7 linked regions of the Rattus norvegicus genome follow. The protein of the gene in region 1 purifies or fractionates together with the protein of each later gene. This does not show direct contact. Links are inferred from orthologs where the notes say so. Each region holds a gene or a part of one and is shown in the gene's direction. Other genes may lie near its edges.

Region 1 (4,570 bases):
TAGTGGAAGGACTACTGTGAATCAGTGCAAGGCCATGATTGGTCCAAAGCACATATGTCCATGACTATGATTGGTTAAAAAAGAAAGAAAAAAAGAAAGAAAGGAAGGAAGGAAGAAAAACAGGCTGTTATTGGCCCCAAATGAATGACTGTGGGCCAAATGCTCTTTCTTGACTTTTTTTTTTTTTTAAAGATTTATCTATTACATATTACAAGTACACCATATCTGTCTTCAGACACACCAGAAGAGGGCATCAGATCTCATTATAGATGGTTGTGAGCCACCATGTGGTTGCTGGGATTTGAACTCAGGACCTCTGGAAGAGCAGTCAGTGCTCTTAACTGCTGAGCCATCTCTCCAGTCCCTTTTTCTTGACTATTAAAGGAGGTTGCTTAGCCTCAGTTATTGATCCAAGTGGGAAACATACTTGTCTTAATCACTGTTCTATTGCAGTAAAGAGACACCATGACCAAGGCAACTCTCCCCCAACCCCTATATTGTGAGAGTTTGTGTAACCTTGGCTGTGATGGAATTCACTTTGTTGGCCAGGCTGGCCTTGAACTCAAGAAATCTGCCTGTCTCTGCCTCGCTAAGTGCGAGGATTAAAGGCATGGGCCACAAGCCTTCCCAGTAGCAGTCACTAGGTTGTGTAGAATCAAGTTGCCTTGCAACTGAAGAAGCAGCTGAACAGTTGGAGTAATCCACTGGGGAGACGGCTCGGGGGATAAAGTGCTTGCTTTGTAAGTGTTAGGAACCGACTTTAGATCCTCAGTTCACCGTTTCAATATTTTTATTTATTTGTTTTATATGAGTACACTGTTGCTGCCTTCAGACCCACCAGAAGAGGGCATCAGATCTCATTACAGATGGTTGTAAGCCACCATGTGGTTGCTGGGAATTGAACTCAGGACCTCTGGAAGAGCAGTCAGTGCTCTCAACCACTGAGCCATCTCTCCAGCCCCCCTGCTCACCGTTTTAAAAACAAGGCAGGCTGGGCACGCTGCACACCTTGAATCTCAGCACTCAGGAAGTAGAGGCAGGTAGATCTCTTTGAGTTTGAACTCAGCCTAGATGAATAGCAAGTTCCCAGCCAGCTGGGCAACACGGTTAGACCGCAGTTCAACAAACAAGTGACCATGTCACTATAGATTATATGCAACGTGAAAAATGTTATATCCTTAATAAATTACAGCGTTTCCTCTTTTTGATCGCAATTTTCTCTGCGTCTAGTATTGACAAAGTATCCCCTTTGAGACCTGGAAACTAACAGCCCTACTTGGGAGGTAAAGGCAAGAGACCAAAAGTTCAAAGTCATTCTTAGATACACAATACAGAACTCATGGCCAGGCCGGTTTTCATGAGAACCGGTAGCAGCAACACAACACAACACAACACAACACAACACAACACAACACAACACAACACAACACAACACAACACAACACAACACAACACAACACAACACAACACAACACACTGAGAACCATGGGCTACCAAGTACTGGCAGACGCCCCGCCCATTAGCAACACAGAGTACACACTGAGCATGCGCCGCTCGCCGACGGAAGCCGAGATGGAAAGGGGCGGGCCGTGGCTGGCGGGCGCGGGGAAAATGGCGGCGGCGGCGGCGGCGGCTGCGGCGGCGGCGGCGGCGGCGGCGAACGGGAGCGGAGGCAGCAGCGGCATGGAGGTGGATGCAGCAGGTAACGGGGTGCAGGGAACGACTTCTGGAGTCGCCCTTGCGGAGTGTCTTGAGTACTTCTTAAGCCCGGGAGAAGCGACATCTCTCCCAGGATAACTTGAGGGCAGGGATGAACGGCCCGGCTCTACCGGTCCTCTGCTCCCATGTCTAGGGGAGAATGTGTGGGCCCGAACTCTCACCCGCTATGTTTTTCTTTCACTTTTAACAGTCCCCAGCGTGATGGCCTCCGGAGTGACTGGGAGTGTTTCCGTCGCTCTTCATCCCCTTGTCATCCTCAACATCTCAGACCATTGGATCCGCATGCGCTCCCAGGAGGGGCGGCCTATGCAGGGTGAGTGTTGTGTGTAAATCTCAAAATTTCCTCTTGGAGATCTCCTCTTGGAGATCTCCTCCAGTCCCTCCCCCCGCCCCCTTTTCCAAATTACTGTTTCCCCAGTCATTAATACACACTGACTTCAGAGTCTCGGGAAAGGTTTTCGATGCTTGAACCTCACCTATTTTCCTTGCACTTCTGCTTCTCTCTCCTTAGTGATTGGGGCTCTGATCGGGAAGCAGGAGGGGCGAAATATCGAAGTGATGAACTCCTTTGAGCTGCTGTCTCACACCGTGGAAAAGAAGATTATCATTGACAAAGAATATTATTACACCAAGGAGGAGCAGTGTGAGAAGGGAATAGAAGTGGGCGGGAAGGAGAAGTGGGGAGATTTTTGTTTTGTATTTAGAATAGAAAGGTATAGTTATGCTAAACTGACCCAAAATTTGAGGGAGGGAGGAAGGGAAAAGCCGGTAAGGAAACACACCAGGTCCATCAAACTCAGGAAGAGAGGTTTAAAGAAATATTTACTCTGGCCCCTTCTTCTCCAGTTAAACAGGTTTTCAAGGAGCTGGAGTTTTTGGGTTGGTATACCACAGGGGGGCCACCTGACCCCTCAGACATCCACGTCCATAAGCAGGTATAAAAGCTCACATGTGTGCATGTTGGGGAAGAGAACAGAAGGTTATGGGAAGAAGAGATACTGACTTTTTTTGGGCTTTGTCTTCTAGGTTTGCGAGATAATTGAGAGTCCTCTCTTTCTGAAGTTGAACCCTATGACCAAGCACACAGATGTGAGTATTGTTGACCCTATGACCCCTTTGTCTTGATCATCTGCCCCTATATGCCTCTGCTCTGATTTACTCTGTGACATCATGTGTATTAGAGAACGCTTGAGTTGAATCTCCACGCTGCTGTTTACTTACGCCCATCAGTTGTGTAACTTCATCTCTTCAGTGGTGTCGCCATATGTAATGTGGGTAAAACTTACTCCAGTAGAGAGAAAATTGTGAGCTAAGTGTGGCAACAACACTTGTAATCAATTTTAGCACTCAGGAGATTGAGGCAAGAGAATTGTGAGTTCAAAACCAGCCTGGCAAGTTCAAGTGCATTTGCTTCTAGTAAGAGCTGTTCTCTTGTCTCCGTCTGTTTTTACAGCTGCCTGTCAGCGTTTTTGAGTCTGTCATCGATATAATCAATGGAGAGGTAATAGTTACCCTGCAATCTTCAAATCCTGCTTTAGCCTGTCTCCTAAATGCTGTGCACATGTGCACAGGCATGGGGCAACCCTGGGTGTTTGTCGTAGCTTTCTACCTGGAGACAGAATCTCGTGTTTGCCAGGCTGGTTGACCTGTGAGCTTCTGGGATTTGTCTTCACTTCCCATTTTGCTGTAGAAGTTCTGGGATTATAGACACATGCTGCCACATCTTGATCCTTAGTCTCGTGCAGCAAGCGCTCTACCCACTGAGCCGTCTGCCCAGCCCTGTTTCCTTGCTGAGAACCCTTTACTCTGCAGGCCACAATGCTGTTTGCTGAACTCACTTACACTCTGGCCACTGAGGAAGCTGAACGTATCGGTGTAGACCATGTGGCCCGGATGACAGCTACAGGCAGTGGGGAGAACTCCACTGGTAAGGGGGTTGAATTCAGTTCTTTGGAGGTATGGGTTGGGTGTGGCCACTTGCTACCTTTCATTTGTCCTGTCCCCCTGCAGTGGCTGAACACCTCATAGCTCAGCACAGCGCCATCAAGATGCTGCACAGCCGTGTGAAGCTCATTTTAGAGTACGTCAAGGCCTCTGAAGCAGGTAGGAGAGGTACCTCACCTTTAACCATCTTTCCTCCCTCCTGGAGAAGTGACAACATCCACATCAGTGCAGCCTCATTGTGCCCTTAGGAGAGGTTCCCTTCAACCATGAGATCCTGCGGGAGGCCTATGCCCTATGCCACTGTCTTCCAGTTCTCAGCACTGACAAGTTCAAGACAGACTTTTATGATGTGAGTGTTAATACCCTTGATGGGGAGGTGGGGCTCACAACCACCTCAGGCAGGTGAAACTCAGTGTCATTGGCTAATATGAGGGACCCCTGGGGAACTGGTTCTTTCTGTTCCCTCCCAGCAATGCAATGACGTGGGGCTTATGGCCTACCTCGGCACCATCACCAAAACGTGCAACACAATGAACCAGTTTGTGAACAAGTTCAACGTCCTGTATGACCGACAAGGCATCGGCAGGCGGATGCGGGGACTGTTTTTCTGATGAGGGCTCTTGGAAGGGATGCTGTATGGGGCTCAGACAACTGTGCCACGGGACTGAGCACTTTCCCCTTAGAGAAACTCACTAATAAAGAACAGCCCCTTAGCAGCCCTTCCAGTGGCTTTGTCCTCTCAGGCACAATGGTTTCTCACCTGGACTCTTCAGACAGGACCCACTTATCTTTTAATGACTCAGGACCCTTGTAGACAGAATGTGATAGGACTGCCTGCTGACTTTCCAGTTCTTCCTTGTTCTGTCCTCAACTTCTCCAGAAAATGACTCCAGACAAATGACTGTTT
Region 2 (3,808 bases), on another chromosome or scaffold:
TCACTGTCTTGTCTCTGCTGTTCCACATACTGATTGTGTTTCCTTGGCCTTGGGAACTCACCGAGGAGCCAGGTGTGTTCACTTGTGCCTGTCGGTGGAGCACGCAGAAGGCTGGAGCAAGTTTGAGGCCACTTCTTAGATCACATAGTAGTTCAGGACAGCCAAGGCTCTCGAGGGAAACAGGAAAGTAAAGCTTGGAAAACCCGATCCCTCGGAGTCTACTCTGTCAAAGACTTCAGAATCACGCTGAGTGTGAGTGTAAGAAAGCAAATATAACAGAAACTGAAAGAGGATCCGGCTTCACGCCGGGCACTGTGCTGAGTATTGCCTGCATTCATTGTTTGCTGTGTGTGAGTGCGCGCATGTGTGTTTCATGTGTGTGTGCATGCGTGTGTGTGTGTGTGTGTGTGTGTGTGTGTGTTTACATGGGTACACATGTGCTATGTTGCACATAAGGAGATCAGCTTATGGAAGTTGGTTCTCTCCTCCCGTTGTGTGGGTCCCAGGGACTGAGCTGAGGTTGTGGTCTGTCTTTACAACCAGCTCCTTTACCTACTCTCTCACTGGTCTGAAAATGCTACTTTTTAAATTTTATTTTTAGTTTTACCTTTCATTGTGTGCTTGTTGATGTCATTGGTTCGGAGAGGGGGATGCGTGCCACACAAATGAGCAGCCTTCAGGAGTGGGTGGAGTCTCACTGCACCTCCTCAAGGCAGCGTCCCTCTTGTTTCTGCTGTAGTGCCAAGAACTCCAGGCTGGCTGGCCCGTGACCTTCATGTCTCTTGTCTCTGCCTCCAGTCCCACAGTAGGCATGCTGGGATGTCCAACGTGTACCACTGTGTGGGGCTTTTTAGTGGGTTCTGGACTTGGGTCCTCAGGCTGGCACAGCTGTGTTTTTTCCATCGAGCTATCCCCATGGGTAAGGTCTTATGTCATCCAGGTTAACCTTAAGTTCCTGTTCGTCTGCCTCCATTTCCAGAGTGCTAGGGTCACAGGTCTGCACCACCACGCCTGCTCTGTTTATCTGTTTTCTTTCTAAGTCACCACTCTAGTTCTAAAAGGTTCATGGTCACCATCATCTTTTCTCTGTGAGAAAATTAATGACACTTCGGAGAACTTAAGAAACATGCTCACATTCCTCAGAGAGGGGCAGGGGCAGGATTTCTCATCTGTGTTGTAGCCACAGAAGCAAGAGGTCTGCCTGCAGTCTCAGCCCTCGTCAAGTTCACTCCCTTGTCCGAGTACTGGAAACACGTCTTGATTTCCCTGAACCTTTGTTGGCCACTAGGAAATGAAGTCTGCAGAATTGACTTTTTAATAATTTATTTTTATGTTATGCCCATTGGTGTTTTGCCTGCATGTGTGTCTGTGTGAGGTGTCTGTGTGAGGGTGTCTGATCTTGGAGTTACAGACAGTTGGGAGCTGCCAAGTGGGTGCTGGGAATTGAAGCCAAGTCCTCTGGAAGAGCAGCCAGTGCTCTTAACCTCTGAGCACCTCTCCAGACCCCCAGGGTTGGTTTTTTTTTTTTTTTGTGTCTGCCTGTCTGTGTTTGTATGTGTGTCTGTGTGAGTGTATGTCATGTATGTACAGGGGCCCTCTGAGACCAGAAGAGGATATTAGATCTCTTAGAGCTAGAGTTAAATGAGGTTGTGAGACATCAGATGTGTGTGCTGGAGACTGAACTCATAAGAGCAGTAAGTGTTCCTAATCCTGGAGTCATCTTTCCAGCCCTTAAAAGAACCGAAGATAGCATTCAGGGATAGAGTGCTTGCCTACACATGCAGGGTCCTGGGTTCAGTCCCTAGCATCTCAAAAACTTCATGACCAGGAAACTGGAGTGATGGTTCTGCAGTTCAAGGCTCCTGCCGCTCTTCCAGAGGACCCAGCACTCACACAGGGCAGCTGTGTAACTCCATCGCCAGGGCATCCAAATCTTTAGCTTCTGAAGGCACCTGCACACATGTGCACATACTCATACATAGACACACACATGCATGTAATTAAAGGTGATGAAAATAATTTTTAGGCCAGGTGTGGTAGTGCAATGCCAGCTCTCAGGAGGCAGAGGCAGGCAGATCTCTGTGAGTTCAAGGTCTGCTTGGGCTACAAAGCGAGTCCAGGATAGCCAGGGCTCTGTCACACAAAGAAACCCTGTCTCAAAACACAAGTAAAAACACACAAAAAAGTTAAAATATAACAATTTTGCAGAATGGGTATAAGAAGCCTAGCAAAGTATTTTAGTCACTGAAATGATGAATAACAGCTGCTGTGGTTGTTTCTAGGGTTCTGAACTCTTAGATTCATGGAGCTTCCTTCTACCAAAAAAAAAAAAAAAAAAAGAAAAGAAAAGAAAAATGTGCGATGGTCCCTGTATGGAAGAGGACTCTTCCATGCCTCTGGTGCCTAGAGGTAGACTTGTGCCCTGGAGACTCAGAAACCGCAGCATCTGGCTCGGTGTCAAGGCTTCCCAGCGAATGCTCACTGTCTTCTCCTGTGACAGTGAGGTCACAGGACTTCCTGAGAGTCCATTCTGCTTAGACATGGCAAGGCCACACATGCCCCCGGAAGCAAAGGCTTGAGGCTAGCCCATCTTAAGGCAAAGGCTTGAGGCTAGCCCATCTTAAGTTGATACTTTTAGAGGATGAGAGTCAGAGAGAGTGAGTGGTACCTCACACCATAGGGACTGTCTAACAAAGCTGGGAACAAAATTTAACCTTTTGTTCCATGGCTGTACTCAAAACCATTTCAAGAATGATTGAGGGGGGTTGGGGATTTAGCTCAGTGGTAGAGCGCTTGCCTAGGAAGCGCAAGGCCCTGGGTTCGGTCCCCAGCTCCAAAAAAAAAAAAAAAAAAAAAAAAAAGAATGATTGAGGGTAGCACTGTTCCTTCCTCTGACCCTTATCTTTCCATCTTATGCCAAAGGCTTCACCCCAAAAACTGCCTGGGTGTGCGCCAGTTTGCTGAGACGATGATGTGTGCTGTGCTGTATGATGCAGCCAACAGCTTCATCCACCAGCACTTTGTAGAGGTGTCTCTGTCTGAAGAGTTCCTGGCCCTGCCCCTGGAAGATGTGCTTGAGCTGCTGTCTCGGGATGAGCTGAATGTGAAGTCAGAGGAGCAGGTCGGTGAGCACAGCAGCAGTCTGCACAGGCAGAGCGCACACTCCTTCCTTCCCCATCCTTCCTCCCGTCCATCCTCCCATCCTTCCTCCCGTCCATCCATCCATCCTCCTGTCCATCCTCCCGTCCTTCCTCCCGTCCATCCATCCATCCTCCCGTCCATCCTCCCGTCCTTCCTCCCGTCCATCCTTCCTCCCGTCCATCCATCCATCCTTCCTCCTGTCCATCCATCCTCCCGTCCATCCTTCCTCCTGTCCATCCTTCCTCCTGTCCATCCATCCTCCCATCCATCCATCCTCCCATCCTTCCTCCCACCTTTTTTTTTTTAACAAACTATGACTATATGTTTTTTATGTATTTGGGAATTTGTTTTGTTATATGTATTTTCCTAAAATCTTTCTTATAGTTTAGTACCTAAATGATAGTATGTTTATCAGCTACATTTCCCTTAATCTTAGAGCTTGGGTTAATTCCATTTTTTTTTAATTTGATGTGTGAGTGCTCTGCCTGTGTATGTGTCTACCTGCCAAAAGAGGGCATCAGGTCCCATTACAGAGGGTTGTGAATGGCCATGTGGTTACTGGGAATTGAACTCAGGACCTCTGGAAGAGCAGCCAATGCTCTTAACCACTGAGCCATCTCTCTCTAGCCCTCCAATATTTATTATTAAAGAAATAATTGCCATAAAC
Region 3 (4,579 bases), on another chromosome or scaffold:
GTCTCCTCCCAATAGAAATCAGACAGTTTGGTCCCTCAGAGTCTCCTCCCAATAGAAATCAGACAGTTTGGTCTTTTTCTCTTCCTATGTACACATCACCCCTTTCTCTTTTCTGTTTCCCTTCCCTAACCCCTCTCCCCTTTCTCAGGGTGACTTGCCAGGCCTTGGTCCTTGGGGCCAGTGAACTCACCCACTCCAGAATAGCTTACCAATAAACATGCCTTTAATACAATCTAACCTGGCTTAAATTGGCTCATTTCACCGACATCGGAGGCTCATTTCACCGACATCGGAGAAATAACCTATCAATAAACAACCCAATACAAACATTAACTTTTTGTTGTTGTTTAAATCCCTAAAAGGCAATACGCATGTTCAAGTCAAAGGGACTAAAGTGAATTTGCAGGCAGATCCTTAGTTTCTAGTCCCATTCTCTACAGGCTATACACTGGCTGCAGGTAACCAAGAATTGTCTATGGGGTAAAAACCTTGGAAGTACACAGAAACAAACGTCTCACATTAACACAGGACTTCTTTACAGATAACTATCTGTCCTTGCCTAGCGACTTATCCACCCGGAGACAAAGGAGTATCTCTTCAGCATTTAATAGATGCATCTTTTTGCATATCACTGCCATTTAAATTGCCCACTTTGCAGACAAATCAGGCTAGTTGATAACGTCGCTTCCCATAATCGCTTTCGTAGAACTGGAATTCAACTCCTAACCCTAAAGTCATTTCTCTTGGCTACCTGCACAAGGGACGCTAACTCGTGGAACTTGTCTGCAGAGAATGCGCGCGTTCAGCCATGCTCTTCCTTATGGAACCATGTTCTCATCCTTATGGAACCTGTTATAGAACGCGCCATTCGAAGTCTCACAAGACAAATCGCTATAAAACGCTCAGGAAACCATATGGCTCTCTTGATGAAGGTTTCACCTGCACTGAACGTTTTAAAATATAATCTCCGACTTCAGGATTTTTAGGAATTGTCTCATTTACTGTATGGGAAATCTGAGACTGTAACCCCAAGTGGTCAAAGGCGTACTCGCTAGCGCAGTCCTCTGCTCCCGCTGTGCAAGGCCACTCCAACAGCACAGCAAGCGCCCAAACGCAGGATCCAAGACAGCGGCGCTTCCCGCCCCATACATCGGCGCATGCGCCTTCCTAGCTCCTCTAGCTGCCGCCACAAGGTGGCGCCACTCCCCCCAGATGCCTCTCCCGTTCCCCTCCTTCCGTACCTTTGTCCAGTTCCATAAGAGCGGAGTTAGCGTCCAGCTCCTGTTCGCCATAGCCGGCATCGGCCAGGAAAGACTTGGTTGAGTTTGACGCCATGATCCTTATAGTTACCGGACTCGCCTAGTCACAAAGATTGCAAACTCTTCCCCTGCACCGCCATCTTCTCCCGCCGCGGTCTCGCGGATTTTTCCCTCCGTGAGCTGTCAGGCAGTGTACGCATGCGCCCGGGCCGCCCGGCGGTTCGCCCGCGCTTCTGTGGCCCCCCCCGCGCAGGCGCTCAGGGGGTTTGTGAACCCTGGGTTCCCGCGGCTGAGCGAGAGGAAGGCGGGGCTTAGAATGGGGCCGAGCCTCCGAGGCTCCAGAACGCTGCGACGAGAGCCAATCAGAGAGCATGACGTCAGTTTGGCGCGGAGTTTGGCGGCCGGGGCTCGCAGTGGCGGGAGTTGGAGGCAAAACCGTGTCGCGCTGTGGAGGGCGCAAGCGGAGGCTCCGGCGGAACTTGGGGGCGATCTCCTCGGCGTTCTCCTCAGCTGAGTCTTCTCCTCAGGACGAAATGCTCTTCAACTCGGTGCTCCGCCAGCCGCAGCTCGGCGTCCTGAGGAACGGTGAGTAACGGTCCCAACGGCCGTGGCGGGAACCACCTCCCCCCAGGCGCTCCACCTTGGATCGCTGCCGACTCCGGGCCTCGAGTTCTCCCGCGGCAGGAGCGAATCCGGGCGAGTGAGGACCGCCGAAGAACCTCGTACTCGGGTTCCTTCTGGAAGGACACTCTTCACCGTAACCGAGCTTTTTAGTTCGGAACGGAGGCCGAAGTTAGGACGTTAACTGGCGCCCCGGGCCCCTGGCTGCTTACGTCAATATCGCGCGTTAACTAGAGTTAGCTGGCTGGTGTGTGTCGGGGATGGGGGACGCACTGGCACAGGCGATGTACGATCTTTGCAGAACCTTAGCGATCCCTGCAAGTTCGTTGTCGTGCACTAGCGCGCGTGGCCCGCAGTTGAGGAACTCAGTCAGGCAGAGAAGTCGCTTAAATCTTGCTTTTTCGGCGCCAAAGCCCCCTCCCCCATCTCTGCAGGTTCTGAAAAGTTCTAAAATACAGACTAAAAGATGCCCATAGCTACCCCCACGAGGCGACCACGGGTAATAGATGGAAAGGTATTGTTTCAAATGTGTTTTGATGCCTAGGTATTTCCAGAAACAGGATTAAATTCGTTTTTCTCTGCACGGTGGAATTCAGCCATATTCTCCTGTTAGCATATAGAAGGCCAACTCATTTCCTACAGTTCTCTTGGGCAGCTTTACAGAAACATTGGCAATGCGATTGGGTTTATGTGTGATTAAACTAAGACTTTGAAGAGTGGGCCTAATAATGTTGAGAAGAGGAAAAGCTCCTTGAGGTCCTGCTCGGATCAAAAACTTTGTATTCTTACTCCTCCTTGGATACTCTTGTAGTTAACATTCTGCTTGCTCATTTCTCTCCTAGAACTTTACAAAACTCCCCCTGTGTTAGGAATGGCCGCCCTGCACAATGCTTGTGAGTGGTCTTTGGAGTTACAGCATCTGAGTTTCAACTCCACCTTCTTTTCCTATGTGACATATTTTCTATCTATCCACTTTTCAGCCTGTCGTTCCTGTTTACAGATACTGGTTCAGTGATAGGCATTGGAATTCCTTTATTGTTACCTCCTGAAATCTGTGTGTCTCCTTTCTTTTTCCCCTCCTGGGTTGCTGTGCCCACTTGCTTGGATGATTATAGCCTTAAGTAAGGATCCACTGTGCTCACATTATTCCAGTCCCTATATTTTGGATTAGTTTCTGTAAAAGCTGTGTGTGTTGATCTTAATCTAGACAGGCACACAAGCATCTTACATTTTGAAGCCCCAAACTGAGTTGGCATTTCCCCAAAATTTGTTACCTACTTTGGGGACTGACATTATTAAACTGGTATCCCAGCTAAAAACTGAGAGTCACTCAAAGACTCCATAGTCCTCATTATGACCTTTTCAAAAAAATTCCCCTAAGCTTGCTTGAATCTATCTCCTTCGTCCCCACTGACTCTGCCTCTTTACCACAAACTGATTCTTCCATTTTCTGTATTCCTTTTCCCCAGACTGGAATCTGATACTTTACTCCCTGGATTATAATATGCCTCCAAAATGTGCTTTTAGTTTCCTTTCTCTGCTGATGTTTGTAAAATAGAATATAATTACTTACTCTTGAGAATTTTTAAATCCATATCTAAAAGTTTTTAGTGTAAGCTTTAAACATGCAAAAATATACCTTAACCTTTTACATACCCAATTATACCAACTTGGGAGTTGTGGTTTCTGCTTTTCAAAGGTGAGCAAATGCTTCAGCTGTTTTGTACGGTTGCTTTTTCTTCTGAATATTCCTACCTTATTTCTCCCCCAAATTTATCCTATTGTAATTTAAAAGTTCTTACCACTCCAGCATGCTACATCAAAAAGCATATAAAGTGCTATTTTCTTTGGTTTTAATACCCGATAAATTATAACCATAGTTAATTCATAGTGGATAATGGGTAAAAACCAAGTGACTTATGTTTTAAGCAAAAAGCAAAATTTTTATTGAAAGTGCATCTTTTAAAGAAATAGACTTAGGTATCTGGTGCGCCTTATGATCTCAAATTGTCTCATAGTTAGGACCTCACTAGTTTTATCTTTTTTAAATGTTTGTAATGGACACATAGTAGCTCACCTTTTGACAGTGCAAGGTATAAGATGGGGATGGAAGGACACCTTCCTTTTGTGAGATAGAAAGGAAGTGAAGCAGCTGATAGGAAAGGGACAGACAACAGCTTTGGAAATAATATGTGGAAGCTGTTGAATTGATATGGTGTTGATCCTCTGAAAATGCAAAGCCTTGTTGTATATTTCTTGTAAGTGTGGGCCTTTAGCTGTGTATTGAGGAAAGAATGGACTTTTCCAGATGAGTGTTGGGGTCTGGGGAATACTACAGGTTCATATTCATAAAGATCCAAAAGTGAATTATGGGGAGATGCAGAAATAATGGACTTAGTAGGCCTTGCTCAATGAGTCACTTTAAATGCTGTTTATCAGTCTGAATATTAGTTGAGGTAGAGAGGCAGAGTTAAGGAATTAGCTTAATTGTGAAAATATCCAAAGCAAATTGTATCTTCAGTTTTTACTTATGTGATTCTTCTTTGAATGGACTTAAAATCCCACATTATACACATGCATTTACATGTAGCCTTTTGTTTTCGAATTTACTTTTTTTAGATGAGATTATTTGAGAACATAATTGTTTGTTGTGGTCTTTCACAGATTACTCAAAGGGTTGCTTAATATTGAAAGTATGG
Region 4 (3,567 bases), on another chromosome or scaffold:
TAGGAAGCCCTTGACACAGCATTCGTATAAGAAAATACAACCTTTAAGATCACTCTTCAAGTGCTAGTTGAGAGTTGTACACTGTGAAAAGTTAAGGGCATTCACGGGACAGTTACAGTGTAACACAGCAGAACAAAGCCTGCCTCAGTCTGCATCAAGCCAAGTGTGTTAATGCAGAGCCATGCTGAAACCTCTGTACACCCCCGCCGTTTCCTTCTTCTTGTCCAGGTTGAAGAACAGGTTAGCACCACAGAGAGAGTGTTCCAGGACAGACAGTACCAGATCGACGCTGCTATAGTCAGAATAATGAAAATGAGGAAGACACTTGGTCATAATCTTCTAGTTTCTGAATTATACAATCAGCTGAAATTTCCAGTAAAGGTGAGTACGGTGGGCACAGCTGGATGTCAGGTGCTGTGTTCCGTGTCCTAGCTTGTAATGGTAACACAGGGCCTGCGTGAGCAGAGGCCCACACATACGATGCCAATGGCTTGTACAGATCCAGAGACTCACGGCTCCTCCAAGCATGTTACATGCTGTGTTTTCAGGAGGGAGCAGAGGCCACGGCCACAAGATGTCAGATGGTCTTCCCTCACCGTAACACCTAAAGCCACTTCCCAGGCCCCCGTGGCAGGCAGTGGTGTTGAGTTCACAAGCTATATAGTCGCATTTCCTGCTTTGGAGATGTGAGTCAGCCTCAGCTTGTCCCTCCTTCTTTTAGCTCTAGAACTAAGTGCTAAGGGTTCTGTAGCCTGCAAAGTAAAAGATGAGCTAGGGGAGCGTTGCAGAAATACCCCATAAAATGCATTATCAGTACCTCAGGAGCCACAATGAGACAGACTGATCAGTCAGTACCCAGGCATAGGTGAAGCTAGTGCCTGGTCCTGCCCTCCATGATGATGGGTGCATAGCCCATGTTATACTGTGTTGTTTCCTGTCCCAAGTAAGGGCATCTGTTTGTCGGTTTGCAAACGTAGCAACCTAGTAATTAAGCAGAGAGTATAGTGTAGAGGTGGGCAAAGTTCTAGGTCCTGTGCTTTTATAGCTAATTGTATGGTCAGCCATGGCTTGTAAGATGCATGGCCTGCCACTGAAGAGAAGGGTTTGCTGTTGGAAAATGGTGCTCCCCTCAACAGAAGGCACTTGCTCCCAAGTGCTGGATGTGTTTCCTACTGCAGCACAAGTGGAGGCAGGTGCCTTTTGGGCAGAGACATTCTAAGGCAGTGGACTTGGCCCTGGTTTAGTCATCCACTGAGACTGAGTTCTTTGACTGGGCATAGTTGTACATGCCTTTAATTCCAGCACTTGGAGGTAGAGGCAGGCAAACCTCTGTGAGATGAGTCCAGCCTGGTCTACATAGTGAGTTCCAAGATAGCTAGGGTTACAAAGATAGACCCTGTCTCACAAAAGAAAACAATAAAGGCAGGGCCAGTGTGTGTGGCTGGTCACCTGCTTTAGGGCCAGGTGTGTGTGGCTGGCCACCTGCTTTAGGGCCAGGTGTGTGTGGCTGGCCACCTGCTTTAGGGTCAAGTGTGTGTGGCTGGCCACCTGCTTTAGGGCCAGGTGTGTGTGGCTGGCCACCTGCTTTAGGGTCAAGTGTGTGTGGCTGGCCACCTGCTTTAGGGCCAGGTGTGTGTGGCTGGTCACTCGCTTTAGGGCCAGGTGTGTTGCTGGCTACCTGCTTTAGGGCCAGGTGTGTGTGGCTGGCCACCTGCTTTCTATCCACACGGCAAGTTAAAGCAGTGGGAACAGGCTCTGTGGTGAGGCCTGCATAGTGAAAATGACAGATAGACTTTTACAGTAACTGAGAGGAACACTCAGAATCTGTGGCTATCCTGTGTAGATACCACATCTGGTAAGTATGGAATGAATAGGTTTGAGCACATAGAAAAAGTGCTTCACAAAGGATGCACATCTATAACCTTTACCTTGGGGAGGCTGAGACAGGAGAATTACTACAAGTTCGAATCCAACCTGGGCTACAAAGTGAGTTCAGCCTGGACAATAGAGAAAAATCATATATTTATTTTAATAATAGAACATTTGTTCAGAATATGCTAACATGATCATTTTGTAGTTATCAGTGTGTGTGTGTGTGTGTGTGTGTGTACATCTGTTGTAGCATTGCATATTTTTGTGACATATTCTGTGCAGGATATTGGGTCTGTGTTTCTATCCTAACATGTCTGGTTTCTCTTTTCTAGCCTGGAGATTTGAAAAAGAGGATTGAGTCACTTATAGACAGAGACTATATGGAACGAGACAAAGACAGTCCAAATCAGTACCACTACGTGGCGTGACGCAGCGGCCGATGGCCGTCTCGCAGTGAGACACACTAGAAGCACCTGAGAGTATGACGCTGCTGTGCTGTTTCCGGGTTCCTGCAGCTGCCCCGACTCTGGACGCTGGGATTCGAAGCAGAGGATGTGGCTCTTGGCTCATGCTTCCCGGGCGCAAGGACTTTGCGGTGACACCGTCTTTCCTCCCCGCTCCTTCCTTCCTCTACTTCTTTATCGTTTCTGTTACTCTGACTTTGCGTTGAGAAGCTCCTTCACAAGCTCTTGTTCCTCTGGCAGAAGGCCACGGGCCTGCTTTGTTGTATGTGTGATTGTGGGGCACAGTGGAAATACCCTAGATGCTGTGTTCGTCCCCAGATGAAGACTCAGAGAGAGCGCCCTGGGCTGCCAGGCACTGGGAAGAGCCTGTCCAGGCTGCCACTCAGCTCTCTCACCCTGAGCATTGGCCTCTTTGCAGTGTATTTCAGAACGCTGGAAACTTTGGCTTCTGTAAATCAGGTTTCTAAGTGAGGTCCCTGATGTGCCAAGAGGACATCATGTCTGTCATGAGATACAGCTCACCCAGAGGACTGCTTGTCGTTTGTTTAGGGGCTTGGGGGTTTCATGTTTGTTTCCATGCCAGTTGAGTGTGGAGGTCTGGTTTTGGCTTTGCGGTGATGCTGTTTGACTGTTGAAGTTGCAGTTTGTGTGATTACCATAATAAAATTGGGCCTGGTTTTGTAGTCTGGCACAGAGACCGTCTTGGATCTCTGCCCTGGCACTCTGTGGAGTTTCGATATGTTTGTCAAAAGGCAAAGGACTTGTTGGTTCCTGGTGACATACTGTGTGTGCACGTGAGGTTGAGCAGAGAGAACAAGGCTCCATAGTGCTGTTGGCATGGTGATGATGACAGACACTTTTGCAACATTTAAAAGTACTTTATATTTTACAAAGTAGCATGTTTCATTTTGATTAAAAGCTACCAAAGGAATTTTGATCATGTATAAGTGTTTAAAGCAATATTTTCTGGAATATACCAAGTTTATATAACTCAATTTTATGCTAAATTATTAAAGGATTCTCCCTTTTTGAAACATGCATGTTTAAGATATGACATCTTTTTGGGTCCCCATATTGAAACCCTTACTCTTTAAGTATCATTTCTATATTTGTAAATTTTCATTTATGAGTTCTATGATGTGGTCTCTGAAAGACCAAATAGATTTCTATTTCTACTTCTTATATTTTAAGTTCATTGTGTCTACAGATTGTTAATATTGTAATTTAATGT
Region 5 (4,426 bases), on another chromosome or scaffold:
AAACCTCCATCCTCTGTAAGAACAGTCATTGCTCTTCAGCCGTTTTTAATGAAAGTATTTTAATGGGAAGAGCTTTTTGAAACAGGGACTAATGTAGCCTAGACTGGCCTAAACCTCCTGGTTCTCTTTCTCCAACCTCCCAAGTGCTAGGATTACAGATATATGTCACTGATGCCATGCCTGGCAAAACATTTAAAAAATCTCCTTTTAATTATTGAAAGAGCGTGGAGGGTGGCTAGAGAGAGATTGCCTAAGACTTTTTTCTTTAAAGATTTATTTATTATATATAAGTACACTGTAGCTGTCTTCAGACACACCAGAAGAGGGCATCAGATCCCATTGCAGAGAGTTGTGAGCCATCATGTGGTTGCTGGGAATTGAACTCAGGACCTCTGGAAGAGCAGTCAGTGCTCTTAACCACTGAGCCATCTCTCCAGCCTGATTACCTAAGTCTTGAGTACTTAACTGTTCTTATTGCTCCCAGCACCCATATGGTACCTCACAATAGCTTGTAACCCCAGCAGTTGGGTGATCTGATGCCCTCCACTGGCCTCCTTAAACTCTAAGAACATGGTTCACATTAACTCCCATAGATGCATGTATACACATATAAGTAAAATATTTTTTAAAAAGATAATTGATGGGCTGGAGAGATGGCACAGGCCTGTTAATTCCTGCACAGGAAAGAGGGTGCTGAGTTTAAGTCTGAGACTTAAACTAAGAGTTTAAGAGTTTTCTAAGAGTTCCTGGTAAGACTGGTCAACTTAAATCCTGTCTTACAATAAAGTAAAACTTATGGAGATATGCCCACCTCTGCCTTCTGAGTGCTGGGGACTGAAGGCTGTACCCCCAAACCCCAAAATAAGAGCTATTTTTGGTACCTAGTCTATTATTGCCTGTTAGCAGACATGCTATTTAGGTACTCACAACAACTTCACGTGGGTATGAAGCCTTGTCCCCACTGACCCACGCGCAAACTAAGTTTTAGATTAAACAATCAGTTTGAGGATAGCCTCTAGTTAGAGTAAGAGGCTGGGTTCAAAGGCGTGTCTTAGTGAGTGGTGCTTGCCACTATCTTCACTTACTGTCTCTTACTTTTCTGCCCTCGTGTGGTTTTGTAAGCTTTGTATTTCAGGTTATTATAAGGGACGAGGTGGTCAGAGTCTTGCAGCCTGTTTACATAGTCACTTCAGCCTTGAGAAATAGTGCTGGCTGTGGCTGGAAGGCTTGCACAGAAGCTTGTGCTAACGTTCTAGGAAGTCTAGTGGGAGGAGCTGGGGGAGGTGGGGCCAAAGGACTACCTATCCCAGCATTCCGCGGGCTCCTCCCTGCGGAGCTCACGTCACGTGGGCGGTACAGGCGACATTCTGCCGTGGCGGCTGGGGGTTGCAGACCAGCGCTGTGGAGCAGGAGGGACAGCCGAGTGGCGCCGCTGATCCTGACTGTCCCATATTTTAAAACCTGGCTGGAAATTGTAAGTAAGCAAAACGAAAACACAACTTTAACATTATTTTAGTGTCTGAACTACTATTTTCTCCTTTCAAAAGGTCTTTGAAAAAGGATCCCTCCCCACCCCCACCTCCCCTACGGCACAAACAGAAATCGAGGTAGGTTGGGATGGGTCTGTAATTTCCGGGAGGGTGCAGAAAACATACCTGGAATCTTTCAAGCATAAAACGAAACAAGGTGAGAGTAGATTTTTGATACGGACTGTAGATGAGAGGTAAGATTACTTAAAAGTTTTCAAATGTAAACCAGAATTCTTATTGTAAGAGTTCATTTCTCTTATTTCGCTGCGTAAGGATTCCAGTAATCTTCTAATCCTTAAAAGATAGAACAGTTAAGTTTTTCAGTTAGTAACTAGTAATGCTGAAATGGACAAACTTTGAAACTCGGAATTACTTTACTTACCTATTTATGTACTCAACTGTTTCATACCCAGCTTTTTAAAAAAAACAAAAAAACTTCTTTGAACAAAATCTTTGGTAGTCTCTACTTTGTCAGATTTTATGCTTGTTTATATAGATCCAGGGATGTTAACTTTTCTAATTAAATTTGCCTGTTTTGTTTGCCTTACCTCCCCCTCCCCCCACCGTGAAGGTAGTTTCTGTTTCTGGCCCTGGCTGGCCCCGAACTCCTGCCTCTGCCTCTGGAGCGCTGGGATCAAAGGCATGCACTACCACACCCAAGTGCCTGTCCTTAGGTTTAAAAACCGCTTATTTAAATGTATAAGAGGGTTTTGTTGGGTTTTTTGTTGTTTTTTTAAAGGCTGCGTGCAGCGAGGACCCAGGACTACCAGTTTTATATACTGTATAAGTCCTTTGCAAATAGAAAATAATTTAAGTAAAGAACTTCCGCAGTAGACAAACTAAAAATAAAAAACGTTCTAGGAAGCCTTTTGAATAGCTTAAAAAAAACAACCTGAGGTTGTGTATGAAAACTTTGAGGCCCTTAAGTAGTGTTGTTGATCTGGATGCAGAGTCCACCCCCAGATAAGGAGGTTTGTTGCAGTTATCATGTGACCTTAGCTGACTCATTTACTCTTTTTTTTTTTTTAGTAGTTTCCCTCCTAATGTAGAGGTACCACACCTAGAGCTTCTGTAATAAACAAGTAACCAGAATTTAGCTGGTCACTTGAGGAGTAGGGTTTTTGGTTAGTTTGCTTGTTTTGTGGGTTTTTTTTTTTAGTTTATTTTTCTGAGGTAGGATCTCTGTATTCTATATCCCTGGCCTCCCTGGACCCCTCTATTAAGCCAGTTTAATGTGACCTCAGAGAGCACAAGCCTCTGCCTCCTCAATAGAGAGTTGTGCCACCAGCACTTGACTGTTGTAGTTGTGCATTGCGTCCTGCACGTAGTTATTGTAAACCATCCCAAGGAACTAAAGTGCCCCTTAAATTTCTCAAGGGGAAATTGGTTTAGAGAAGCTTTGTCTGCCTTTCAGTTTCCTATTAAGCTTCAAGGCCACTATGAAAAGCACACACACACTTGGCTTTCTGCAGCCCACACCCTCGTGGGTCTGAGTTTCCAACACCCTTGTCAATTGACCTACAAGTGGTTTTCCAGTGTAGTTCTCATATTTTATCATAAGCTTTGCACAGTAAGACAAGCGTTTGTCAGTAAGGGTATCTTGAACAGTGACTGTATACGTGGACTTTGGAGTCATAACTGATCGGACTTCCGGTACTATCTGAGGATCGTAGGACTTTGGCAGATAACTACTTCTGAGCCTGTTTCCTTAGCAAAGTGGAGAACTGTAGGGTCATTTAGAATATTTAATGAAATCATTTATGTACAGAAGTAAAAACAGCTATTATTAATTGGGTTTTTTCCCCTGTATAAAATATTAGAAGGATTATATATAGAATGTGATTTTGGTAACCCAGATTGAAATGAAAAAAGTTCATCTGTAATTTTGTAACTTCTACAGGTCAAATCGTATTGCTTTTTAGTAACTCTGCTTTAGTACTTGACAAAACCAAATTTAAAATGTTAGCTTTTGCACTCTGAAGGTGTAGATAGGTCTAACAGAGCTACCTGGATTTGCCTCTTTCTATCTTGATAGAACAAAACAGCAGGGCTTTAAGTATTGCAGGTCCACTTAAGAGCGCCAGTGTTTGAGACCTTTCTGTGTGCTTCAGTAGGGCTACATGCTGCTCTCATTTAAGTGTCGTGCTGCTTTCCACCGTCTAGGTGGTGGCATTGCACTGGTTGTTACGAACAGCTGCAGCATCAAGATGGAATTCTAGTTAGCCCAGAAGCAGCCATTCGGGTTCAGGCAGAAAAGGAGATTGCCGTCGGTCAGTATTTGTAGACTTTCTGTGGATGTCGGGCCATTCTACATTCATCCTAGGGATTGACTTCAAACTTCTCTGCACAAAAGAAATGGTGTTTATGCTTTGACTATTTGGCCCACCATTTTAACATTTTATAGGGAAATAAAAGAAGAAGAAGATAAAAATACAATTTAGACTCAGGGCGTGGTGCAGATTTTTATTTTATTTTTTTAGGACGGGGTTTCTCTGTGTAGCCCTAGCTGTCCTGGAACCTGTCCATAGGTCAGGCTGGCCTCCAACTCAGAGATTCTCCTGTGTCTGCTGAGTGCTGGATTGAAGGCCTGGCCCGCCTACCCACTTCTAAGTTGTTTTCTCAAAAAGAGTAATAAGCATGGTATTTTTATAGTAAAGGGAACTAACTTTTCTTTAAAGAGAAATGTTTTCTTTAAATGTTAAACTTTGTGGGACCTGAGTTTAGATCCCAGTGTAGGAGTAAAAAGTCAGGTGTGGCTTGTAACTGCAGGCTTGCCTTGTAACCTCAGGCTAGCTCCAGATTCAGCAACTTAACCCTGTCTCAGAGGGTCATCTGGCATGAGACCCATGGGGTTTTTTTTTGTTTGTTTGTTTGTTTGTTTGTTTTTGTTTTTTTTA
Region 6 (3,808 bases), on another chromosome or scaffold:
TTGTGGAAATCCTGAGTTTTAAAGTGGGATAAGATGTGATTGGATTCTTAATTTCTGGGGAAACTGGAAGGAGTGCATGGTGTGTCTGAGACAAGAGGGGAGGCAGGCACCCTGAGGAGCTGTTGTTCCTGGAGGTCAGCAGAAGCGTGATGGAGTCTGAGGTAGAAGTGGCACAGGAGGCACAGCTTTAGAGACTCAGGCACGGTAGTGCTGGAGCTGTGAGCACAACGTTTAAGGCGCTTACCGAGGAGCTAGCTCCGTGTTTCTAGCATGGGGCCGTGGGACTCAGGATGGAGGTGTAGGTCACAGTCTCACTTGTTTATAAGCGCTTTCTACTCTGAACCTCTGGCTGGCTTTTGTTTTGAGCACCCATCTCTGCTCAGTACAGGGTATAAAATGTCCTGTGTAAGTTAACGGATCTGTTCTTGTCATCCTGTGCAGGAAGGACCTAGTCACAGTGCTGAAGCTGTGTCAATTCAGGACGCCATGAGTGTGGAAGAGGCTTCTGGTTTCCATCCACTGGAGCCAATGCTCTGCAGTGAAACAGAGGACGGGCAGGTGCCACATTCCCTAGAGGCCCTGTACCAGTCAGCCGGCTGCTCCACCGTCAGTGATGCCTTGATAGTGCTGGTGCATCTCCTTATGCTTGAGTCGGGCTACATACCTCAGGTAAGTGCCACCCGAACCTCTTAGGGCGTGGGGTGGTGTGAATACACTTGGCCCAGGGAGTGGCACTATTAGGAGGTACGACCTTGTTGGAGGAAGTGTGTCAAGGTGGGGTGGGCTGGGAGACCCTCCTCCTAGCTGCCTGAGGATGGTCAGTCTGTTCCTGGCTTCCTTCAGGTGAAGATGTAGAACTCTCAGCTCCTCCTGCACCAGGCCTGCCTAGACACTGCCATGCTCCTGCCTTGATGATAATGGACTGAACCTCTGAACCTATAAGCCAGCCCAAATTAAATGCTATCCTATAAGAGTTGCCTTGGTCATAGTGTCTGTTTAGAGCAGTAAAACCCTAACTAAAACATGAGACCTCACTAGGCACCTCAGTCACTAGGGCATTGTGGTGGTCCATCTTTCTTTACTAAATGTGATTGGTTCTTGAATATCAAATGTCAGAAATAGTAAGGGGTTGTCACAGGTACTCAGTAAATGCCCTTTGCAGCTTTCCTTCTTTTCCCATCATTTCCCTTGTTAGCATTTAGTATTACAGAGAGAATGGCAACTGGTCCAAAAAAAAAAGGACACAAGGCCTGTGTGCATACGGTCATGTTGAGAAGGCCTGTGTGCATACGGTCATGTTGAGAAGGCGTGTGTGCATATGGTCATGTTGAGAAGGCGTGTGTGCATACGGTCATGTTGAGAAGGCGTGTGTGCATACGGTCATGTTGAGAAGGCCTGTGTGCATACCGTCATGTTGAGAAGGCCTGTGTGCATATGGTCATGTTGAAATAAAGTGGCGGCAGTGGGGACGCGTCTGACCAGATGCTGGCTGACCAAGGTCTCACGCTCACGGCCTTGTGCTGTGGTTGCTTTCCTTCATTAACTTCATTCAGCATGGCTTCGTGCAGCATCTGCTGATGCAGTGAGGTGATTTCCTTCCTGCTCTTAGCTCTCTGTTTCCAGTTCCTGATAGTCTGAGAATAGACAAGGGTTTAGATCATTTTAGTTTATTGTGTAAGTTCTAGGAGAGACATTTGCACATGCGGAGTGCCTGGGACTCTGAAAGAGCAGTTAGAGGAGAGCTGAGGAATACAGGGACCGCATTGGAGCACAGATTCTGACCTAGTAAGCTCAGGGTGGGGCTGAGCGTCTTGCGTACTCTGGCCTGTCCCCTGTACTGCTGGCCTGTACACATTCCTTGTGGCCATGGGATGGAGTACAGAGATGAGGAGTAGCCCAAGACCATTGTGCGCCTGTGCACACTGTACGCACAGGCGCACGTTTCTCAGAGTTCACAGATGAGCACAAAAGACCAGATAGATATAACATACTACAAATAACAGTGTAAATTGACAGAGCACTACAAATATGCAGTGACACAAATGTGAACAAAATGTTAGAAAATGACTTTTCTGGAAAAGGGCTGTATGAGGGAAATGCTGTTCTCCCTGCGGTCTTGAATAACGAACGATTTGTCTTTGCTAGGTAGAAAATGTGAGTCTTAGAAGAGAAAAATTAAGCCTTATTTCTATGATGTCATTGTATATTAAAACAAAAATTTTGATAGACAAATATTATAACCTATTATCCTCCTAGTAGCAATATTAATGATGTGCATATTCTGTTAAGGGGGCTATATGTATCTTTTAAAAAATGTGTATGATGTGTGTGTGTGGGGGCGTGTCATGCGACATAGCATGTGTGGCAGGCAGGCAGCAGAGTTCCGTGGACTTGGTTCTCTGCCTTCTTTCCTTTATGTGGGTTTCAAGGCTCCACCTTGGGTGATGGCTTCTGTGACAGACACTTTACCTGCTGAGTCATGTCAGCGGCTCAAGGGGGCTACATTGCACAGTAAGTTAGGGCTGTTACTGATTTTCAGGTTTTTCAGCACAATACCTTTCTTCATTATTATTCTTTCATCTCATTCCTCAGGGGACTGAAGCCAAAGCAGCATCCATGCCTGAGAAATGGAAGTCAAGTGGCGTATACAAGCTCCAGTACACACATCCTCTCTGTGAGGGCGGCTCTGCCGTGCTTACCTGTGTACCTTTGGGAAAGCTCATCATGATAAACGGTAATGGAGCAGAGCGTCATGCTGGCGCCTTGTGAATTAAGTACTTTATTCCTAACAGTCTGTAGCCACTCGAGTGGGTGCCGAGTCATTCACATCTTAATTACTGTATGCCTGAAGACTTAAAATTAGAGGATGTTGGTTTAGGACAGCACCCTTCACTTTTGGGGTAGCCTCCTTGTTCTCTTTTTAAATGTCTGTTATAGTTTTACTTTATGTTTTGAGTGTTTTACCTGCATTTGTGTCTGTGCATCATCTCATACATATGGTGCCTGTGGAAGCCAGAAAAGGTGTCAGATCCCTTGGAATTGGTGTTAAAGATGCTGCCAGCTTCCAGGTGTGTGCTGGGAATTGAACGAGGGTCCTCTGTAAGAGTAGCCAGTGCCTGTAACTTAACTGCAGAGCCACCTCTCCAGCCTCAGCTTTTTTGTGATGTGTCAATCTTTGATCCCTTTGTTCTGTGAGCTGTGGTAGTAGAAATGAGTGGGTTTTACTGTGGATGAACTATTGGAGTAGGTTTTTGTGCACATCTGTGAATGTCTCTTCTAATTACCTTCCTTAGCCTCTAACCTGTGGTGAGGAAGTCGGCATCTCTGAACTGCTGAGGTTTTGCAGCCATGGTATGCACAGTTTAGCTGCCCGTCCTCACGGAAGTCCTCTGAATGACCTCTCTGCTCTCCCCTTTCCTAGAGGGAAGCTGCACTGAGGTGGCAGTGTGTTTCTGGATCATGTTAGTCATGATGTCACACAGGTCCTTCCCAACCACCACTGCTTTCTGGAATGTTCTCCTGATCTCACATTAGGAGATCCATTTGGGTGACCAGGATCTTACATTTCAGTCTGATCTTTTTTTTTTTTTTTTAAATATATTTTTGAAATTGGGTCTGTATACCCTAAACTGAGCTCAAATTCTTTATGTAGCCGAAGCTCTGGGGTGGTGGGTGACTCCCACCTCACTGGGCTAACACTGTTTGGGTTTTGAGGTCATCCTTTTCAGATACTTAAGCTAGAAGAGAGTGCGGTAGATTGTGCTGTTTGTGGATTGTCTTGCTTTGCTGCCTTGGGTGAGGTTTGCAC
Region 7 (4,539 bases), on another chromosome or scaffold:
ATGGAGGGATATACCTGTAAACACAGCATTCAGGAAACAGAGACAACAGGAAAAAACGTTAGTTCAAGATCCACCTCGACTACATGCTGAGTTTGGACTACAGAGATGGATTCTATCTGGAAGAAAGCAAGCCAGAAAAACAGCAGATATACAAAAATAATCAGCCTAGAGTAGGATAGCTGAGAAAACAGTAATGAACAGTTCTAGAGTGATTTGTCTTGGGTCTCAAAATGGGCTAGCCGGCAAGGAATGTAGAACTGTGCCATGCTGGGTGGTGCAAACGCTGTCAGTCAGCAAAGAGCCTTTATAAGAGCAGAACATAGTCCTAACCTGTTCCGGTCATGTTTTTCAACAGCGACTCTGGCTTCTGGTTTCCTAGATGACAGCCAAAGTCACTGGCCCATCCTGAGCTATTATTTTCTTCTGCCTCCCAAGCACTGTGGTTGGATGCAAGCTCACTGAACAAGTTAATCAAGAAGCACAGTGCCACTTCTGCTGGTCTCTAGATCGCAGTCGTAAGCCCTACCTATACCAACGTCAACCTCGGACCCTAGAACTACACGGTTGCTCACGTCTGTTACACAACAGAAATTTAAGGAACAAGGGTCTCGATGTGTTGCCTAGGGTGTCCCTGAACGCCTGTTCTCTCTCTCTTTTTTAAAGATTTATTTTTATTATATATGAGTACACTGTAGCTGTCTTCAGACATACCAGAAGAGGGCATCAGATCTTATTACAGATGGTTGTGAGCCACCATGTGGTTGCTGGGATTTGAACTCAGGACCTCTGGAAGAGCAGTTGGTGCTCTTAACCACTGAGCCATCTCTCCAGCCCTTAACGCCTGTTCTCAAGCCAACTTGATACCTCAAGCCTCCAGAACAATTCGAGTTTTTTTTTTTTTTGTTTTGTTTTTTTGTTTTGTTTTTTTTTGGTTCTTTTTTTCGGAGCTGGGGACCGAACCCAGGGCCTTGCGCTTGCTAGGCAAGCGCTCTACCACTGAGCTAAATCCCCAACCCACAATTCGAGTTTTAAACTAGTTCCCATCAATCTGAATCTGGGATTGCGGTGGGATTAAAGGGGAGCTTGCTTCTGCACCCTTAGGCAACGTTCCTTACAACGTCCAGGTTCTGCCTTTGCTGAGCCCTCAAGAGGGCAAGGATCCAGTCTAACCTGGTAACCTGGTCCCGCTGAGATCCGCATAAGTGCAATATTGAATAGAACCACCAAGAGCCAAACAGCCACTACCTGCCTGGTTCAAAAATGGTTGCAAGCACTGCTTCCTACTCTCCTGGGTGCGCATCCCAGGAAGTACCCGATGGACCGCCAAATAGTCACCTCCACAAACGGAAATACCCGAGCTTAACCGAAGAAAACCGAACCTCAAACTACAACGAGGAGCAAGCAGGGGGGTGGGGTGGGGGCGCTGCAAGAGTTGCGCAGGCGCAGAGCGCAGCCGAGCCAGGAAAAACCGAAGCGGACAGACGACGGAAAGTGCCGAAGCGGCGGGGTGCCCGAGGCCGTTGCCGACCTCCGCATCGAAGCCGCGCCTGCCGCGGAAGCTGAGCCTCCACCGGTACCCTGCGGTACCCTGCCGCCGCAAGCGCGGCTGCCGCCTCCTCCTTCCACCTCACCGCAGCCTCCTAGCAAAGGGAGCAAGTAGGCGGGAGAGCGGCGGACCGGTAAAGGCCGGCGTCCGCAGCCGCAGCGGGGACTCACAAGACCCGAGCGGAAGAGGGGGAGGAGGGCGCGGGGGCCGTAGCAGGGGCGGGGCCGAGGATAGCCGAGTCCTCCCGAGCACTTCCGAACACACCCGAGGTGCTAAGCCAGGCCAGAGCCGGACTACGGGAGCCGAGGCGGGCCGTGCGGTGGGCGCGGAGCAGCGCGGCAGGCCGGGCGGGCGGCAGCGGAGGAGGCCGCGGTAGCGGGTCCGAGGAGCGGAAGCGGCGCAGGCGGCGGCGGGGGGCCGGGTGGCCGGGGTCCCGGGCCCCGCGGCGGCTGCGGCGGCGGCGGCGGCGGCAGGATGATCAAGCTGTTCTCGCTGAAGCAGCAGAAGAAGGAGGAGGAGTCGGCCGGCGGCACCAAGGGCAGCAGCAAGAAGGCGTCGGCGGCGCAGCTGCGGATTCAGAAGGGTAGGGGTCGGGACCCTGCGTTCGAGGTCAGGGACCGTGGCGTGAAATTGCCACCGCTGATATTTGGTATCGAGGGTCAGAGTTCGAGGGTTGTGATACGGGACGGGGTGGGGGGGTGCGGTCACTAGGGAGGGTCAGAGATTGGGGCCGAGTATGGGGCGTTGGGATATTTGGGCCTGGAGTGTTAGGGACCCGGAATCTGTTAGGGGAGGGGTATAGTTTGGAGAGTCAGAGGGGAACTTTGCTCTGGGGTGACGGGCCGTGAAGATTGTGAAGGTTACGAATTGGGGATAAGTAGGAGACGGTTTAGTGTTTTATACTGGGGCTGGTGGTCCAGGACTCAAGTCCAGGGGTTTAGGCAGAGTGGTTTTGAGTTTGAGGTGAAGGGGGGTAGAGAAAATGACAGGAACTTTAAAAAAAAAAAAAAAAAAAGGAGTTTGGGTCAATTTAAGCTACCATGCTAGAAATCTCAAGGATCAGATGGGAACGTGGAGTAATCCGGAGAAGAGGGAGGACAGTGGAGGCTGGATACTTGATGGGAAGGTTGAACTTAGTGTTGTGGGGGGAGGTGTCATGGTCCTTGAATAGTGGTGAACTGGTAAACAGTCGTGAATGGAGATAGTGACTAGAAATAGAGAACCTCAGGTTTAAGGTACTCAGGGGTTCTTGGAAGTAAGGGTTATGGGAGTAAAGGTTCTTGGGGACTATGTTGTGGGAACTTGCGGAGGACTTGGGGTTGGGGGATAAAGGCTTGCCCTTTCCCAAGAGATGGGCATCCAGTTACACTTGAAGATGCTTGTATGTGGGATACCGTGTATCCAGAAGAGTAGAGACTGAAAAGTGGAAAGAGTAGTTAGTCCTATGGAGTGAGTTAAAGCACAGCACACAAAGAGCACCTCAGGTCCAGGAGACCTTGGGGGTTCTACTGACACATGTCCAGACCTACCTCCTTTCTTCTACCTGTTTTCTCTCCCTCTCCCTGCTGTGCAAACCTAGACATTAACGAGCTGAACCTGCCCAAGACGTGTGACATCAGCTTCTCAGACCCAGACGACCTCCTCAACTTCAAACTGGTTATCTGTCCTGATGAAGTAAGAGTAAAACATGGCAGGATTCCCAAGAACAGTCCAGGGGTGGCCCCCTAAGAGCAGGATCTTTATGCATTCTTCCCCCTTCCTCTTCCAGGGCTTCTACAAGAGCGGCAAGTTTGTGTTCAGCTTTAAGGTGAGTTTCAAGTGTACAAAGGTGGCTCTGTGGAGAAGACTGGGGCATAGCCAAAACACCCTCCCATCTCATTTCTCTTTTTTCTGGAGCCAGGTGGGACAGGGTTACCCACATGACCCTCCCAAGGTGAAGTGTGAAACAATGGTTTATCATCCCAACATTGACCTCGAGGGCAACGTCTGCCTCAACATCCTCAGGTGAGGGCACTGCCTTCCTTTCCCTCCCAAGGCTTGCCTTCTAGGAATCCTCTCAGCCTTTGTGGATGCTGCATCCATCTCTGTCCTTGCCTTTATGGTCAGTCTGGGTTTCTGTCTTCCTTTTCAAGTTGTTTTTCTAGTGACCTGACCTTGGCTTTCTCCATGACCTGCCCTGTTCCACATCTTCCCCCTCACTCTTCAATGTTAATGGCCCTTCTATGGGCCTGACCTGTTTCGTGTTAGCAGGGCCTGTGGCAACCTCCCACTCACCAGCCCCTGATAACCTTGATGCTCTCTGCCCACAGAGAGGACTGGAAGCCAGTCCTTACGATAAACTCCATAATTTATGGCCTGCAGTATCTCTTCTTGGTAAGTAGGCATAGACATTTGAGGCTGAGGGCTTGTTGGCCATCTCTGCCTCTCTTGCCTGTTGACTTCCACTTGTACTGGCCACAGGAGCCCAACCCCGAGGACCCACTGAACAAGGAGGCTGCCGAGGTCCTGCAGAACAATCGGCGGCTGTTTGAACAAAACGTGCAGCGCTCCATGAGAGGTGGTTACATCGGGTCCACCTACTTCGAGCGCTGCCTGAAATAGGGTTAGCAATTACCCATCCCTGCCAGGGTTACTGGCCCAGGCATCCCCTGCAAATATTTATTGGGGGCCCAGGTAGGGTGTGTGGGGTAGCCTTGGCCCCTGCCTTGGCCTTGCCTCTCCTCCCTGTCACCTGCCCCTAGTTATTTTTTTTGACCACCACGTGATTATGGTCGGTGCTGCCTCCCCCGACCTGCTCAGCGATGGGAAATGAATTGGCTTGTTTAGCGCCCCCCCTCCCGCTGGGTGCTGTCCAACCCCCCACTCTTGACTGTGGGGTAAGTGGGCAATGGGCCTGGGTCACCAGGCTCAAGCAACCCACCCCACCACCACTGGAGGTCCCACCAGGCTATTAAAGGGGAATGTTACTGCATGGCCTCTGCCTCTTCCTTCTG

The links.
Region 2: the proteins of Cops6 (region 1) and Klhl18 purify together in Homo sapiens (affinity purification with mass spectrometry; 3 studies listed by BioGRID and IntAct, with this or other methods). This does not show direct contact. The link is inferred for Rattus norvegicus from reciprocal best matches to the Homo sapiens genes COPS6 and KLHL18.
Region 3: the proteins of Cops6 (region 1) and Dtl purify together in Homo sapiens (affinity purification with mass spectrometry; 4 studies listed by BioGRID and IntAct, with this or other methods). This does not show direct contact. The link is inferred for Rattus norvegicus from reciprocal best matches to the Homo sapiens genes COPS6 and DTL.
Region 4: the proteins of Cops6 (region 1) and Cul4a purify together in Homo sapiens (affinity purification with mass spectrometry; 13 studies listed by BioGRID and IntAct, counting the BioPlex papers as one, with this or other methods). This does not show direct contact. The link is inferred for Rattus norvegicus from reciprocal best matches to the Homo sapiens genes COPS6 and CUL4A.
Region 5: the proteins of Cops6 (region 1) and Tor1aip2 purify together in Homo sapiens (affinity purification with mass spectrometry, with the first as the bait; 3 studies listed by BioGRID). This does not show direct contact. The link is inferred for Rattus norvegicus from reciprocal best matches to the Homo sapiens genes COPS6 and TOR1AIP2.
Region 6: the proteins of Cops6 (region 1) and Fbxo7 purify together in Homo sapiens (affinity purification with mass spectrometry; 4 studies listed by BioGRID and IntAct, counting the BioPlex papers as one, with this or other methods). This does not show direct contact. The link is inferred for Rattus norvegicus from reciprocal best matches to the Homo sapiens genes COPS6 and FBXO7.
Region 7: the proteins of Cops6 (region 1) and Ube2m purify together in Homo sapiens (affinity purification with mass spectrometry; 3 studies listed by BioGRID and IntAct, counting the BioPlex papers as one, with this or other methods). This does not show direct contact. The link is inferred for Rattus norvegicus from reciprocal best matches to the Homo sapiens genes COPS6 and UBE2M.

What each region holds. Positions count from the first base shown.
Region 1 is NC_086030.1:22,151,118-22,155,687, forward strand, and holds Cops6 (COP9 signalosome complex subunit 6), read left to right. Parts: upstream 1-1,570; 5' UTR 1,571-1,572; coding exon 1,573-1,702; intron 1,703-1,909; coding exon 1,910-2,032; intron 2,033-2,230; coding exon 2,231-2,362; intron 2,363-2,565; coding exon 2,566-2,654; intron 2,655-2,745; coding exon 2,746-2,808; intron 2,809-3,172; coding exon 3,173-3,220; intron 3,221-3,531; coding exon 3,532-3,646; intron 3,647-3,729; coding exon 3,730-3,822; intron 3,823-3,911; coding exon 3,912-4,012; intron 4,013-4,133; coding exon 4,134-4,274; 3' UTR 4,275-4,410; downstream 4,411-4,570. UniProt on the Homo sapiens protein: Component of the COP9 signalosome complex (CSN), a complex involved in various cellular and developmental processes.
Region 2 is NC_086026.1:119,296,092-119,299,899, reverse strand, and holds part of Klhl18 (kelch-like protein 18), read left to right. Parts: intron 1-2,922; coding exon 2,923-3,121; intron 3,122-3,808. UniProt on the Homo sapiens protein: Substrate-specific adapter of a BCR (BTB-CUL3-RBX1) E3 ubiquitin-protein ligase complex required for mitotic progression and cytokinesis.
Region 3 is NC_086031.1:105,683,027-105,687,605, reverse strand, and holds the start of Dtl (denticleless protein homolog), read left to right. Parts: upstream 1-1,684; 5' UTR 1,685-1,792; coding exon 1,793-1,844; intron 1,845-1,866; exon of another isoform or gene 1,867-2,127; intron 2,128-2,139; exon of another isoform or gene 2,140-2,394; intron 2,395-2,407; exon of another isoform or gene 2,408-4,579. Other genes in the region: Ints7 (integrator complex subunit 7), read right to left, coding at 1,242-1,335. UniProt on the Homo sapiens protein: Substrate-specific adapter of a DCX (DDB1-CUL4-X-box) E3 ubiquitin-protein ligase complex required for cell cycle control, DNA damage response and translesion DNA synthesis.
Region 4 is NC_086034.1:83,086,721-83,090,287, reverse strand, and holds the end of Cul4a (cullin-4A), read left to right. Parts: intron 1-228; coding exon 229-381; intron 382-2,204; coding exon 2,205-2,300; 3' UTR 2,301-2,848; downstream 2,849-3,567. UniProt on the Homo sapiens protein: Core component of multiple cullin-RING-based E3 ubiquitin-protein ligase complexes which mediate the ubiquitination of target proteins. As a scaffold protein may contribute to catalysis through positioning of the substrate and the ubiquitin-conjugating enzyme.
Region 5 is NC_086031.1:70,778,894-70,783,319, forward strand, and holds the start of Tor1aip2 (torsin-1A-interacting protein 2), read left to right. Parts: upstream 1-1,376; 5' UTR 1,377-1,474; intron 1,475-1,547; exon of another isoform or gene 1,548-1,607; intron 1,608-4,426. UniProt on the Homo sapiens protein: Required for endoplasmic reticulum integrity. Regulates the distribution of TOR1A between the endoplasmic reticulum and the nuclear envelope as well as induces TOR1A, TOR1B and TOR3A ATPase activity.
Region 6 is NC_086025.1:19,714,973-19,718,780, reverse strand, and holds part of Fbxo7 (F-box only protein 7), read left to right. Parts: intron 1-441; coding exon 442-669; intron 670-2,592; coding exon 2,593-2,734; intron 2,735-3,808. UniProt on the Homo sapiens protein: Substrate recognition component of a SCF (SKP1-CUL1-F-box protein) E3 ubiquitin-protein ligase complex which mediates the ubiquitination and subsequent proteasomal degradation of target proteins and plays a role in several biological processes such as cell cycle, cell proliferation, or maintenance of chromosome stability.
Region 7 is NC_086019.1:82,735,207-82,739,745, reverse strand, and holds the start of Ube2m (NEDD8-conjugating enzyme Ubc12), read left to right. Parts: upstream 1-1,447; 5' UTR 1,448-2,020; coding exon 2,021-2,129; intron 2,130-3,125; coding exon 3,126-3,220; intron 3,221-3,314; coding exon 3,315-3,353; intron 3,354-3,446; coding exon 3,447-3,550; intron 3,551-3,855; coding exon 3,856-3,919; intron 3,920-4,006; coding exon 4,007-4,147; 3' UTR 4,148-4,539.